Linked DNA regions of Arabidopsis thaliana. The gene in region 1 interacts genetically with each later gene. Each region holds a gene or a part of one and is shown in the gene's direction. Other genes may lie near its edges. The genes, in order: CB5-B and ETR1.

The links.
Region 2: of CB5-B (region 1) and ETR1, changing one suppresses a phenotype caused by changing the other (phenotypic suppression), as found in Arabidopsis thaliana (one study listed by BioGRID).

The regions. Positions count from the first base shown.
Region 1 is NC_003071.7:13,875,070-13,880,650, reverse strand, and holds CB5-B (cytochrome B5), read left to right. Parts: upstream 1-1,940; 5' UTR 1,941-2,203; coding exon 2,204-2,290; intron 2,291-2,292; exon of another isoform or gene 2,293-2,894; coding exon of another isoform or gene 2,895-2,981; intron 2,982-3,238; coding exon 3,239-3,305; intron 3,306-3,387; coding exon 3,388-3,638; 3' UTR 3,639-4,839; downstream 4,840-5,581. Other genes in the region: AT2G32730 (26S proteasome regulatory complex, non-ATPase subcomplex, Rpn2/Psmd1 subunit), read right to left, coding at 317-462; AT2G32710 (Cyclin-dependent kinase inhibitor family protein), read right to left, coding at 5,301-5,370, 5,485-5,581. UniProt on the Arabidopsis thaliana protein: Membrane bound hemoprotein which function as an electron carrier for several membrane bound oxygenases, including fatty acid desaturases.
Region 2 is NC_003070.9:24,732,154-24,738,325, forward strand, and holds ETR1 (Signal transduction histidine kinase, hybrid-type, ethylene sensor), read left to right. Parts: upstream 1-2,008; 5' UTR 2,009-2,130; intron 2,131-2,499; 5' UTR 2,500-2,544; coding exon 2,545-3,450; intron 3,451-3,525; coding exon 3,526-3,894; intron 3,895-3,971; coding exon 3,972-4,226; intron 4,227-4,308; coding exon 4,309-4,436; intron 4,437-4,526; coding exon 4,527-4,724; intron 4,725-4,852; coding exon 4,853-5,213; 3' UTR 5,214-5,565; downstream 5,566-6,172. Other genes in the region: AT1G66345 (Pentatricopeptide repeat (PPR) superfamily protein), read left to right, coding at 5,566-6,172. UniProt on the Arabidopsis thaliana protein: Ethylene receptor related to bacterial two-component regulators. Acts as a redundant negative regulator of ethylene signaling.

The DNA.
Region 1 (5,581 bases):
CAGGAAGAAGTTAGATACAATTACTCATTCATAATCTATAAAGATCACTACAGAACTTGCTAAAGCTAGTCATGTAAAATAAAAAACTTTACTTTTCTTATCCTACCCATTGAATCTGCATCGCCACAAACTATCAATCCCTCACTCAAAATTTTGAACTTTAATACCCAAATCGAGAAGACCTACACACAACCACAGCTCAAACAATCCAAATCCCACAATCTTCTCTAGAATATCCCGAATAAAAAAACAGATCAAGTGAGAGAACAAAACCCTAAATCTCAAACCGGAAAAAAAGGGTTTAAAAGAGAATTACATGATGGGGACACTAGTGGAGATCTCAGGCCAGAATTGGTCAACCAAATTGTTGAGGTTAGAGAGCGCATGAAGCTTCAAAACAGGATGAGGCTCGTTGAGCATTGCTAGTAATCCTCCAGCGGAACTAACCATGGGTGTCGCCATTGATGGAGAACACTAAATCGAAATCGAAATAAACCCTAAGAGAAAGCTAATCAGATGACGAAAGATTCGAACTTTCGATGAGACTCGTCTTGAATCTCTCTACTGGATTTGAAGAAGAGTGTTTTCCTTATTTATTTTAGTTTATAGGACGAAAGTAAAAATAAAAGGAGATTTGGGAGAAGATAGTAAGTCAGGGACTTGGATGCAAACTACGAATATTTAGAGACTTACCCAACAAGTCAGGATATTAAAAACTGCCCCGAATGTATAGCTTTATTATGATTTTAGTCTCAAGTTTTGTGTTATTGAGTTATGGATCCAATATATTTTGAAGATTTACAAAAACTCCTTATTGCTTTTACAAAATTGGTTGGTCATACAATTTTAAGTTTTAGGAGCTTTTAGGATACCCTAATTGCTAAATTATCATCATATCATATCAATAAAATGTGTTGCAATTCAGAACATAATACAAAGCTTTATAGAGATATGCAAGGCATCATAGAGAAATTAATAAACTTACAGTCGGTTAATCAAATTTTATAAACAAAATTATCATAAATCGATTCAGCTCATTACACGAAATGGTAAGCGTAAACTATGATGATGGTGTGGTCGACCATTAGCTCGATTATGTAACAAAGTCATCTAGTTATTTAGCTTATAAATCATTTCAAGATGTAATTCAAAAACATATGCATTCAATTTTTTTTTTAGTTATCTGTTTATCGTATCAGAAGTTCAATGAAAATAGTGTATGAACAAACAAACACGATTTTAGTTATTTATATTTATTGTTCATTTTAAAATTATATATATATTAGTTTTTTTTAATGTGTAAATTGTATTTAATATTTTCAAAGCAACAATTTTTAGTATTGAAAAAGATTTGGTGGTCCTAAAAGTATAACTTTTTCTTTTAATAACATTATTTGGTACTAAAAAACATAAAGAAAATGATGGTTCTAATCTTTTGGTTAACCTGCTTGTTTTTCTCTAGAGAACATGGCTAATGTATTTTTTTCATTGTCGATGGTTCAAATTTGAAACTTCTCAGACCTCTTTTCGTTTACAAGGTCAGAAATTCACCGGTCAATCTATTGATTTTGAATAATATGTACATTTTATATAAGCTTTAGAAAGAAAAAGATTTGTGTCCCTAATAAATAAGGTCAGTTGGTATGAAGCAGCGGCAATTTATTTTTCTTATGTAGTTGTATCTACTAATATAAAACTACATAAATATTACTTATGAGAAAAGAATTCATATGTACCATAATAAAATTTATTGCACATCATTCACCTACCGATCTTGAATGAAAAAGGCAGAATTAGAGCGCACAACCGCAACATTTGCACTGCCTACCTACCTACCCCATCCACTCAACCGGAAATAACAACTACTACCAAACCACTTAACCCATCGGTTCAACATTGGCACATATGTTTTCAAAATCGTACAGATGAATACCATAAGGCCAAAACAGTAGAGCAGCAATTAGGTACAGACTATGTGAGAACAAACTCAAAATCAATTTTCATTAAACCGGTTTTCAAAGCTTCCAAAACTCACCAACCGATTACTTTGAGAACGAACCAAATTAAACCGGAATTTAACTGATTCGTCAAATGGTCTTTAACTCAACAACTCTCTCTCACACTCTTGTATAAAGTTTTGAGCTTTAAGTCTCAGAGTCAGGTTTTGGTGGGTTAATTCTGGTAGACAAGAATCAAACAAACAATGGGAGACGAAGCAAAGATCTTCACTCTTTCAGAAGTTTCAGAGCATAATCAAGCTCATGACTGTTGGATTGTCATCAATGGAAAGGTTTCATTCTTCTTTCTCCTTATTCTCACCTCTGAAATTAGAGATCTCGTGCTTCAAAGTTTCCCCTTTTGGTGTTTGCATGAGATTAAGCTTTTGAAGTCTCAGATTTCTAAGTCTAAAATTATCAGATCAAATCTTTAGATGGGTAGAGAGAGTAGAAAATGGTGTAGTTATTAAGCTTATGCTGAAGATTTAGCTCTTTTGATCTATTTATCAGCTGAAAATTTTCTAATTTTGATTGAAGATGGAGAAATGTAGAAATAGTTCTTATTGTCTTTAGAGTTTGTTTGATCGACATCAACCTTTCTTGGGATGGACTACTGACACTTGTCGATTAGTTGTTTGCCCTGAAGATCGATCGTTTTTGTATTGTGATTATTAACTTGTGAAGGAATCTGTAGATACATCCTTGAGCCTCCCTTCATAGTGAACTTGATTTTTGTTTTCTTCATTGATTGGTTTGTGAAATCAGTAGATTATCACAAGAAAGTAGGAAACATTAAATGTTTTGGTCTGTTGTTCCATCAGTAGTTTATGTTTCTTATTAATATTGTCACTTAAGTTCATTTTTTTTGGGAGTTTACCTCTGTGCAACAAGTTTGCTATGTACACAGAACAATCCTTTTTATCAAGTTCAGAAGATCCCAAATGTATCTCTGGACTTGGTTGTTGGTACAGTAATTTGTTTCAAGTATTCATCTTTCTATTCCTATTGTTTGATTTTTAGAGTTATATGCACCATATCTTGTTTAGTCCAAAGAAAGCGATAACCTAAGAACTTTTCTTTTTGTTGCTCCATTGTTTCTTACATTTTAATCATAAGCCTCAGAAGTGGATCTTCCCATGTTTTAAACTTCTTGATTTGACAAGAAATCTTCAAAGTTCAGAAGTTCTGTAATTGGGTTTCATTTGCCTCTCCTAACTTCACACATTTGCAAAAAAATGCAGGTGTACAATGTGACCAAGTTTCTTGAAGACCATCCAGGTGGGGACGATGTTCTCTTGTCTTCAACAGGTCTGTATAAACACAACTATCACCATGCTCCCGGCTTAGTGGAGATCAATCCATCGGTTTTTGATTCTTATTCTCTTTTCAGGTAAGGATGCAACGGATGATTTTGAGGACGTGGGTCACAGCGAGAGTGCAAGAGAAATGATGGAGCAGTACTACGTAGGAGAGATTGATCCAACAACAATACCAAAGAAAGTCAAATACACACCTCCTAAACAGCCTCACTACAATCAAGACAAGACCTCTGAATTCATAATCAAGCTCCTCCAGTTCCTCGTACCCCTTGCCATTCTTGGTTTAGCAGTCGGAATCCGTATCTACACCAAATCAGGGTAGGCTTCTTTTTTTTCTGAGCATTACTTCCTTATATCTTATATATAGAGAGAAAGATTCAAGTCTTTTGAAAAGACAAATCTGAAAGTCTCTCCCTTTGTTATTGTCTCTTCCCATATTTTGCTGTTTGAATGTATTTTGGATAATTTCTTATCTATTGTGGTGTAACTGCATATAAACAACAGTCTTGTTGGTGTTTTTGCCTTATGCAACTAATGAACATCTCATCTATATTTCAGATTCTGAAACCGAAGTTATGACTAATAAGTGATCTGTTTTGAAAGTCTGGTTTAGTATTGTTTGAGATCTGTAGAAGAAAAGTAACCAAGGAACTATCAAAACAAGGCCATGATCTTACTAATTGAATGCTTAAGAGAACACTTAATTAACTTTGAGAAAAGGAGAAACAAAAACAACAGATTACGAATTCCAAAGAGAAAGAGACGTTTGTTTTGGCAGTTACTTGATAGAGTGTGTGGCAGTTAGTGACTTGAGCTCACAAAAACATATCCACACGAAGAATCCAAAAACTCTTCTGCAACTGTAGGACCCTCTTTTTGTACCTCTTTACCGCTTTGGCCGCAAGAAGTCGCAACCGCAGACACAAAGTTCGATACTTGTAACTTCGAGAGCAATAAATTTCATTTAAGTAAAGATTGGAATGGATTCTGTGGCAAGTTGACAACTATGGACTGTTTCATTCAAAACGTTGTCGTGTGTAGACTCAAATCAATACAATCAGAAAACGAATCTTATGACAAGCAAAGACGCGACGAAGTTTCGATGATTGATCAAAAGACGATCACCATAATGATGATGATGATGATGATATGTAGTGAGTGGGTACGAATTACATATTTAAGATAATATAGTGGGCACAAATCTCACAGAGTGGAAAGTACAATGGACTCACACAAGAGCAAGAGAAAGAGAAAGAGAATCTTTTTCTAACACTTTTGATTTTAGTGAGAAGACAGAGACAAAACAAAGACCACTATGAGACACTATCCATATCCATAACGAACAGCTTCTCTGTCTCTCTATTATCAGTATACAATTGTGTATATATAGACATGTATTACCTACCTGTCATTGTGATGTTATATGTCTGAAGAACACAACACATGGACCATAATGATGATGATGATAAGAACAAGAACTTAAGATGAAGAGAACAAAAAAGAGAAGGATAAGTCTTTATTGAAAAGAGTTTGAGATCAGTACATGTATACACATAAAAGGATAGATTTTTTAAAATGGTTACAGGACAAAGAGTTTTAAGAGAATGCAGAGTCCCCCTGTACCGGAATTCATAAAAGAAAACACTGACCCTTAAACCGAAAGAACTCTAAACCCTAAACGCTAAACCCTAAACAGACTTTGGGTTACTTCTAAAAACCTTCTCTTATGGCTTTAGTACTACTACTAAGGTGATCTGTATAGGCTTAAAAAGGATTGGTATCAAGTTCTGTTACACAAACCCTTTTCAGCCACTTATGTTACAGACACCAATTTAAAAACACTACATGGGTTTTTTCTCCTAAGCTCTTTACATGTTGAAAAAGTTAAGAAAACGGATGATGGTAATAAGATCAAACCGATAATTAGCAGGAAAATGTTAATATATTCTGTATTAACTATTAACCCCCCATTTTTTTGTTGTTTCTAATCATCTACCTTCGTCCATTCAAACCGTCCTGGTAGTGGTTGTTCGTTCACAGGATCAAAGTTGTACCTGAAGAAAGAGTTGACAGAAACCATTAGAGACACAAGACCAAAAGAGAAGAACAGAACAAACTGGAAACTCATAACCAAAAGAACAGAACAGATGAAACGAGGAAACACATACTTCTCAATGAATTGCTTCTGTTGTTCTTCTTCAGCACCCGAGAAAAACTCGTCCATTTCAGGTGTAGTTGGTCGGCGACGATGGCTGCGTGACAAAC
Region 2 (6,172 bases), on another chromosome or scaffold:
CCTAAATATCAAAATTGATTCAGATAAACTTATCAAGGCATCAAATTTATAAAATTCTCGATTTTAGAACGACATAAAGATACAATTTTGCTTAAATGTAGAGATTACCCACTTGAATCAAACTCAAAGTATTGATTTTTAAGACAAAGCCCATCAAGGAAAAATTGGGAATTGGAGAGATGAAACAGTGAAGAACACAGATTCGATAGAGAAGAGAGACTAACCTTGTGGGAAGAAATGAAGAAGAAGAGTAATCCAAAGAAGGATTTAGGATTTTAGGGAGAAAGAAGAGGACAAAGAAGGAGAATTATGGGATTAGAAGTGAAAATTGTAACCACAAGAGTTACTTGTGGACCAGTGTGAGCCAACCATGTCCTAAGTTTTCTTTCTATTTCGATTCTCTGGTCATTATAGTATTGGCCCCACTCTTTCCCTTAATATCAATTTGGTTCAATCCATATATTTTGGTATTGCGATTTTTATTCTTATTTTAAATTGAAGGACCAACACTTATATATAAAGAATATACACCAATCTATTTATTATTAATTAGATTTAATTTGGAAATCCATAAAATTTAATACAGTAAAATCTCTATAAATTAATAATGTTGAGACCACAAAATTCTATTAATTTATAAAGGTATTAATTTATCGATAAATTAATATTTATTAATTTACAGAGAGATTTTCCAAAAGTGGTAATTTTTTTTTTAATTTCTATAAAAATTTAAGATTCATTCCATTATCTAAAATATATTTTTAGAACCAATTACAAATAGAAATAATTATCATGTCTAGAAAACAACAAGAAAAGTTTTTGATAGAGTAAAAATATTAAAATGAAATAAAAAAAAACTTATACAAATTTAAGTAAAAAAAAAACAATATTAAAATTATATTTCTCTGTAATTTATGATATTAATGGGACCCTATGTTTATATAAGATTTTCAAAAAAACTATTATCTTATTAATTTATCGATTTGTATCACTTTTTACAGTGGTTCCAACTCGGGACCGAAAAAATTTATTAATTTATAGAGATTATTAATTTATCGAGTATTAATTTATAGAGGTTTTACTGTATGTATCAAAATTTCGTGTGTTGAGATTTAATACTGATCTTAAAATGAGATTCAGTTCGAGATAGGCTGATTAGAGCCATCATCTTGAAGGTATATATTAAGATTCCATATTGTAAGTTTGAAGTAATCAACACTAGTATATATGAGACATAAACGTTGGTTGAGAATTGAATCGATGAAATTTAGTTTTGTTTGGATTTTGATTTGACTGGTTAAGGTCTTATGTACATTTTTCGGAGGATTGATTTCAAAAAAAACTAATGTAATAATTTTATATAATTGCTTAATATACTTTTGGTTTAGGATCAAATTTCTGGTTAACTCTGATTTAGTTTTGAGGTACTGAAAACCTATATTATGTCAATTTGGAGATATATTACAGTTAACCAGATATAACATTAGTAGTTTGATATATCTCCAAGTTGACATAATATAGCTTTTATTCACATGAACATATTTGTTTGATTCAACTTGTTTTACTTCTCTTACAACTATATAATGTTTTATACAAACGATTATTTACATAAGATTACACTTAAAACTCATAATTTTATATTGGCTAAACATATATATTGCTTAATCTCCAAATGACATTATCATTCTCCTTTTTTGAAATCATACGAATCAATGTAAGGTGAAAGTTAGTGAAAACAATATTTTGCATTTTTTGGTGAAACCATAAAGATAGTATTTGTTGATAAATATGGGGATATTTATCCTATATTATCTGTATTTTTCTTACCATTTTTACTCTATTCCTTTATCTACATTACGTCATTACACTATCATAAGATATTTGAATGAACAAATTCATGCACCCACCAGCTATATTACCCTTTTTTATTAAAAAAAAACATCTGATAATAATAACAAAAAAATTAGAGAAATGACGTCGAAAAAAAAAGTAAGAACGAAGAAGAAGTGTTAAACCCAACCAATTTTGACTTGAAAAAAAGCTTCAACGCTCCCCTTTTCTCCTTCTCCGTCGCTCTCCGCCGCGTCCCAAATCCCCAATTCCTCCTCTTCTCCGATCAATTCTTCCCAAGTAAGCTTCTTCTTCCTCGATTCTCTCCTCAGATTGTTTCGTGACTTCTTTATATATATTCTTCACTTCCACAGTTTTCTTCTGTTGTTGTCGTCGATCTCAAATCATAGAGATTGATTAACCTAATTGGTCTTTATCTAGTGTAATGCATCGTTATTAGGAACTTTAAATTAAGATTTAATCGTTAATTTCATGATTCGGATTCGAATTTTACTGTTCTCGAGACTGAAATATGCAACCTATTTTTTCGTAATCGTTGTGATCGAATTCGATTCTTCAGAATTTATAGCAATTTTGATGCTCATGATCTGTCTACGCTACGTTCTCGTCGTAAATCGAAGTTGATAATGCTATGTGTTTGTTACACAGGTGTGTGTATGTGTGAGAGAGGAACTATAGTGTAAAAAATTCATAATGGAAGTCTGCAATTGTATTGAACCGCAATGGCCAGCGGATGAATTGTTAATGAAATACCAATACATCTCCGATTTCTTCATTGCGATTGCGTATTTTTCGATTCCTCTTGAGTTGATTTACTTTGTGAAGAAATCAGCCGTGTTTCCGTATAGATGGGTACTTGTTCAGTTTGGTGCTTTTATCGTTCTTTGTGGAGCAACTCATCTTATTAACTTATGGACTTTCACTACGCATTCGAGAACCGTGGCGCTTGTGATGACTACCGCGAAGGTGTTAACCGCTGTTGTCTCGTGTGCTACTGCGTTGATGCTTGTTCATATTATTCCTGATCTTTTGAGTGTTAAGACTCGGGAGCTTTTCTTGAAAAATAAAGCTGCTGAGCTCGATAGAGAAATGGGATTGATTCGAACTCAGGAAGAAACCGGAAGGCATGTGAGAATGTTGACTCATGAGATTAGAAGCACTTTAGATAGACATACTATTTTAAAGACTACACTTGTTGAGCTTGGTAGGACATTAGCTTTGGAGGAGTGTGCATTGTGGATGCCTACTAGAACTGGGTTAGAGCTACAGCTTTCTTATACACTTCGTCATCAACATCCCGTGGAGTATACGGTTCCTATTCAATTACCGGTGATTAACCAAGTGTTTGGTACTAGTAGGGCTGTAAAAATATCTCCTAATTCTCCTGTGGCTAGGTTGAGACCTGTTTCTGGGAAATATATGCTAGGGGAGGTGGTCGCTGTGAGGGTTCCGCTTCTCCACCTTTCTAATTTTCAGATTAATGACTGGCCTGAGCTTTCAACAAAGAGATATGCTTTGATGGTTTTGATGCTTCCTTCAGATAGTGCAAGGCAATGGCATGTCCATGAGTTGGAACTCGTTGAAGTCGTCGCTGATCAGGTTTTACATTGCTGAGAATTTCTCTTCTTTGCTATGTTCATGATCTTGTCTATAACTTTTCTTCTCTTATTATAGGTGGCTGTAGCTCTCTCACATGCTGCGATCCTAGAAGAGTCGATGCGAGCTAGGGACCTTCTCATGGAGCAGAATGTTGCTCTTGATCTAGCTAGACGAGAAGCAGAAACAGCAATCCGTGCCCGCAATGATTTCCTAGCGGTTATGAACCATGAAATGCGAACACCGATGCATGCGATTATTGCACTCTCTTCCTTACTCCAAGAAACGGAACTAACCCCTGAACAAAGACTGATGGTGGAAACAATACTTAAAAGTAGTAACCTTTTGGCAACTTTGATGAATGATGTCTTAGATCTTTCAAGGTTAGAAGATGGAAGTCTTCAACTTGAACTTGGGACATTCAATCTTCATACATTATTTAGAGAGGTAACTTTTGAACAGCTCTATGTTTCATAAGTTTATACTATTTGTGTACTTGATTGTCATATTGAATCTTGTTGCAGGTCCTCAATCTGATAAAGCCTATAGCGGTTGTTAAGAAATTACCCATCACACTAAATCTTGCACCAGATTTGCCAGAATTTGTTGTTGGGGATGAGAAACGGCTAATGCAGATAATATTAAATATAGTTGGTAATGCTGTGAAATTCTCCAAACAAGGTAGTATCTCCGTAACCGCTCTTGTCACCAAGTCAGACACACGAGCTGCTGACTTTTTTGTCGTGCCAACTGGGAGTCATTTCTACTTGAGAGTGAAGGTTATTATCTTGTATCTTGGGATCTTATACCATAGCTGAAAGTATTTCTTAGGTCTTAATTTTGATGATTATTCAAATATAGGTAAAAGACTCTGGAGCAGGAATAAATCCTCAAGACATTCCAAAGATTTTCACTAAATTTGCTCAAACACAATCTTTAGCGACGAGAAGCTCGGGTGGTAGTGGGCTTGGCCTCGCCATCTCCAAGAGGTTTGAGCCTTATTAAAAGACGTTTTTTTCCAACTTTTTCTTGTCTTCTGTGTTGTTAAAAGTTTACTCATAAGCGTTTAATATGACAAGGTTTGTGAATCTGATGGAGGGTAACATTTGGATTGAGAGCGATGGTCTTGGAAAAGGATGCACGGCTATCTTTGATGTTAAACTTGGGATCTCAGAACGTTCAAACGAATCTAAACAGTCGGGCATACCGAAAGTTCCAGCCATTCCCCGACATTCAAATTTCACTGGACTTAAGGTTCTTGTCATGGATGAGAACGGGTTAGTATAAGCTTCTCACCTTTCTCTTTGCAAAATCTCTCGCCTTACTTCTTGCAAATGCAGATATTGGCGTTTAGAAAAAACGCAAATTTAATCTTATGAGAAACCGATGATTATTTTGGTTGCAGGGTAAGTAGAATGGTGACGAAGGGACTTCTTGTACACCTTGGGTGCGAAGTGACCACGGTGAGTTCAAACGAGGAGTGTCTCCGAGTTGTGTCCCATGAGCACAAAGTGGTCTTCATGGACGTGTGCATGCCCGGGGTCGAAAACTACCAAATCGCTCTCCGTATTCACGAGAAATTCACAAAACAACGCCACCAACGGCCACTACTTGTGGCACTCAGTGGTAACACTGACAAATCCACAAAAGAGAAATGCATGAGCTTTGGTCTAGACGGTGTGTTGCTCAAACCCGTATCACTAGACAACATAAGAGATGTTCTGTCTGATCTTCTCGAGCCCCGGGTACTGTACGAGGGCATGTAAAGGCGATGGATGCCCCATGCCCCAGAGGAGTAATTCCGCTCCCGCCTTCTTCTCCCGTAAAACATCGGAAGCTGATGTTCTCTGGTTTAATTGTGTACATATCAGAGATTGTCGGAGCGTTTTGGATGATATCTTAAAACAGAAAGGGAATAACAAAATAGAAACTCTAAACCGGTATGTGTCCGTGGCGATTTCGGTTATAGAGGAACAAGATGGTGGTGGTATAATCATACCATTTCAGATTACATGTTTGACTAATGTTGTATCCTTATATATGTAGTTACATTCTTATAAGAATTTGGATCGAGTTATGGATGCTTGTTGCGTGCATGTATGACATTGATGCAGTATTATGGCGTCAGCTTTGCGCCGCTTAGTAGAACAACAACAATGGCGTTACTTAGTTTCTCAATCAACCCGATCTCCAAAACTCATCCATGGCTTCTTCTCCTTCTCCTCCAAAACTAATCCAAATCCAAACAAACAACAACAAATCCTCATCGACTACATCTCCAAATCCCTCCAATCCAACGATACCTGGGAAACTCTCTCCACCAAATTCTCCTCCATAGATCTATCAGATTCCTTAATCGAAACAATCCTTCTCCGATTCAAAAACCCCGAAACCGCCAAACAAGCTTTATCCTTCTTCCATTGGTCATCCCACACTCGAAATCTCCGTCACGGAATCAAATCTTACGCATTGACGATTCATATCCTTGTCAAAGCTCGATTACTAATCGACGCTCGAGCTTTAATTGAATCGTCTCTGTTAAATTCTCCTCCCGATTCGGATTTAGTCGATTCGTTGTTAGATACTTATGAGATCTCATCTTCTACTCCTTTAGTGTTTGATTTGTTAGTTCAATGTTACGCTAAGATTAGGTATTTGGAATTAGGGTTTGATGTGTTCAAGAGATTGTGTGATTGTGGATTTACTCTTAGTGTGATTACTTTAA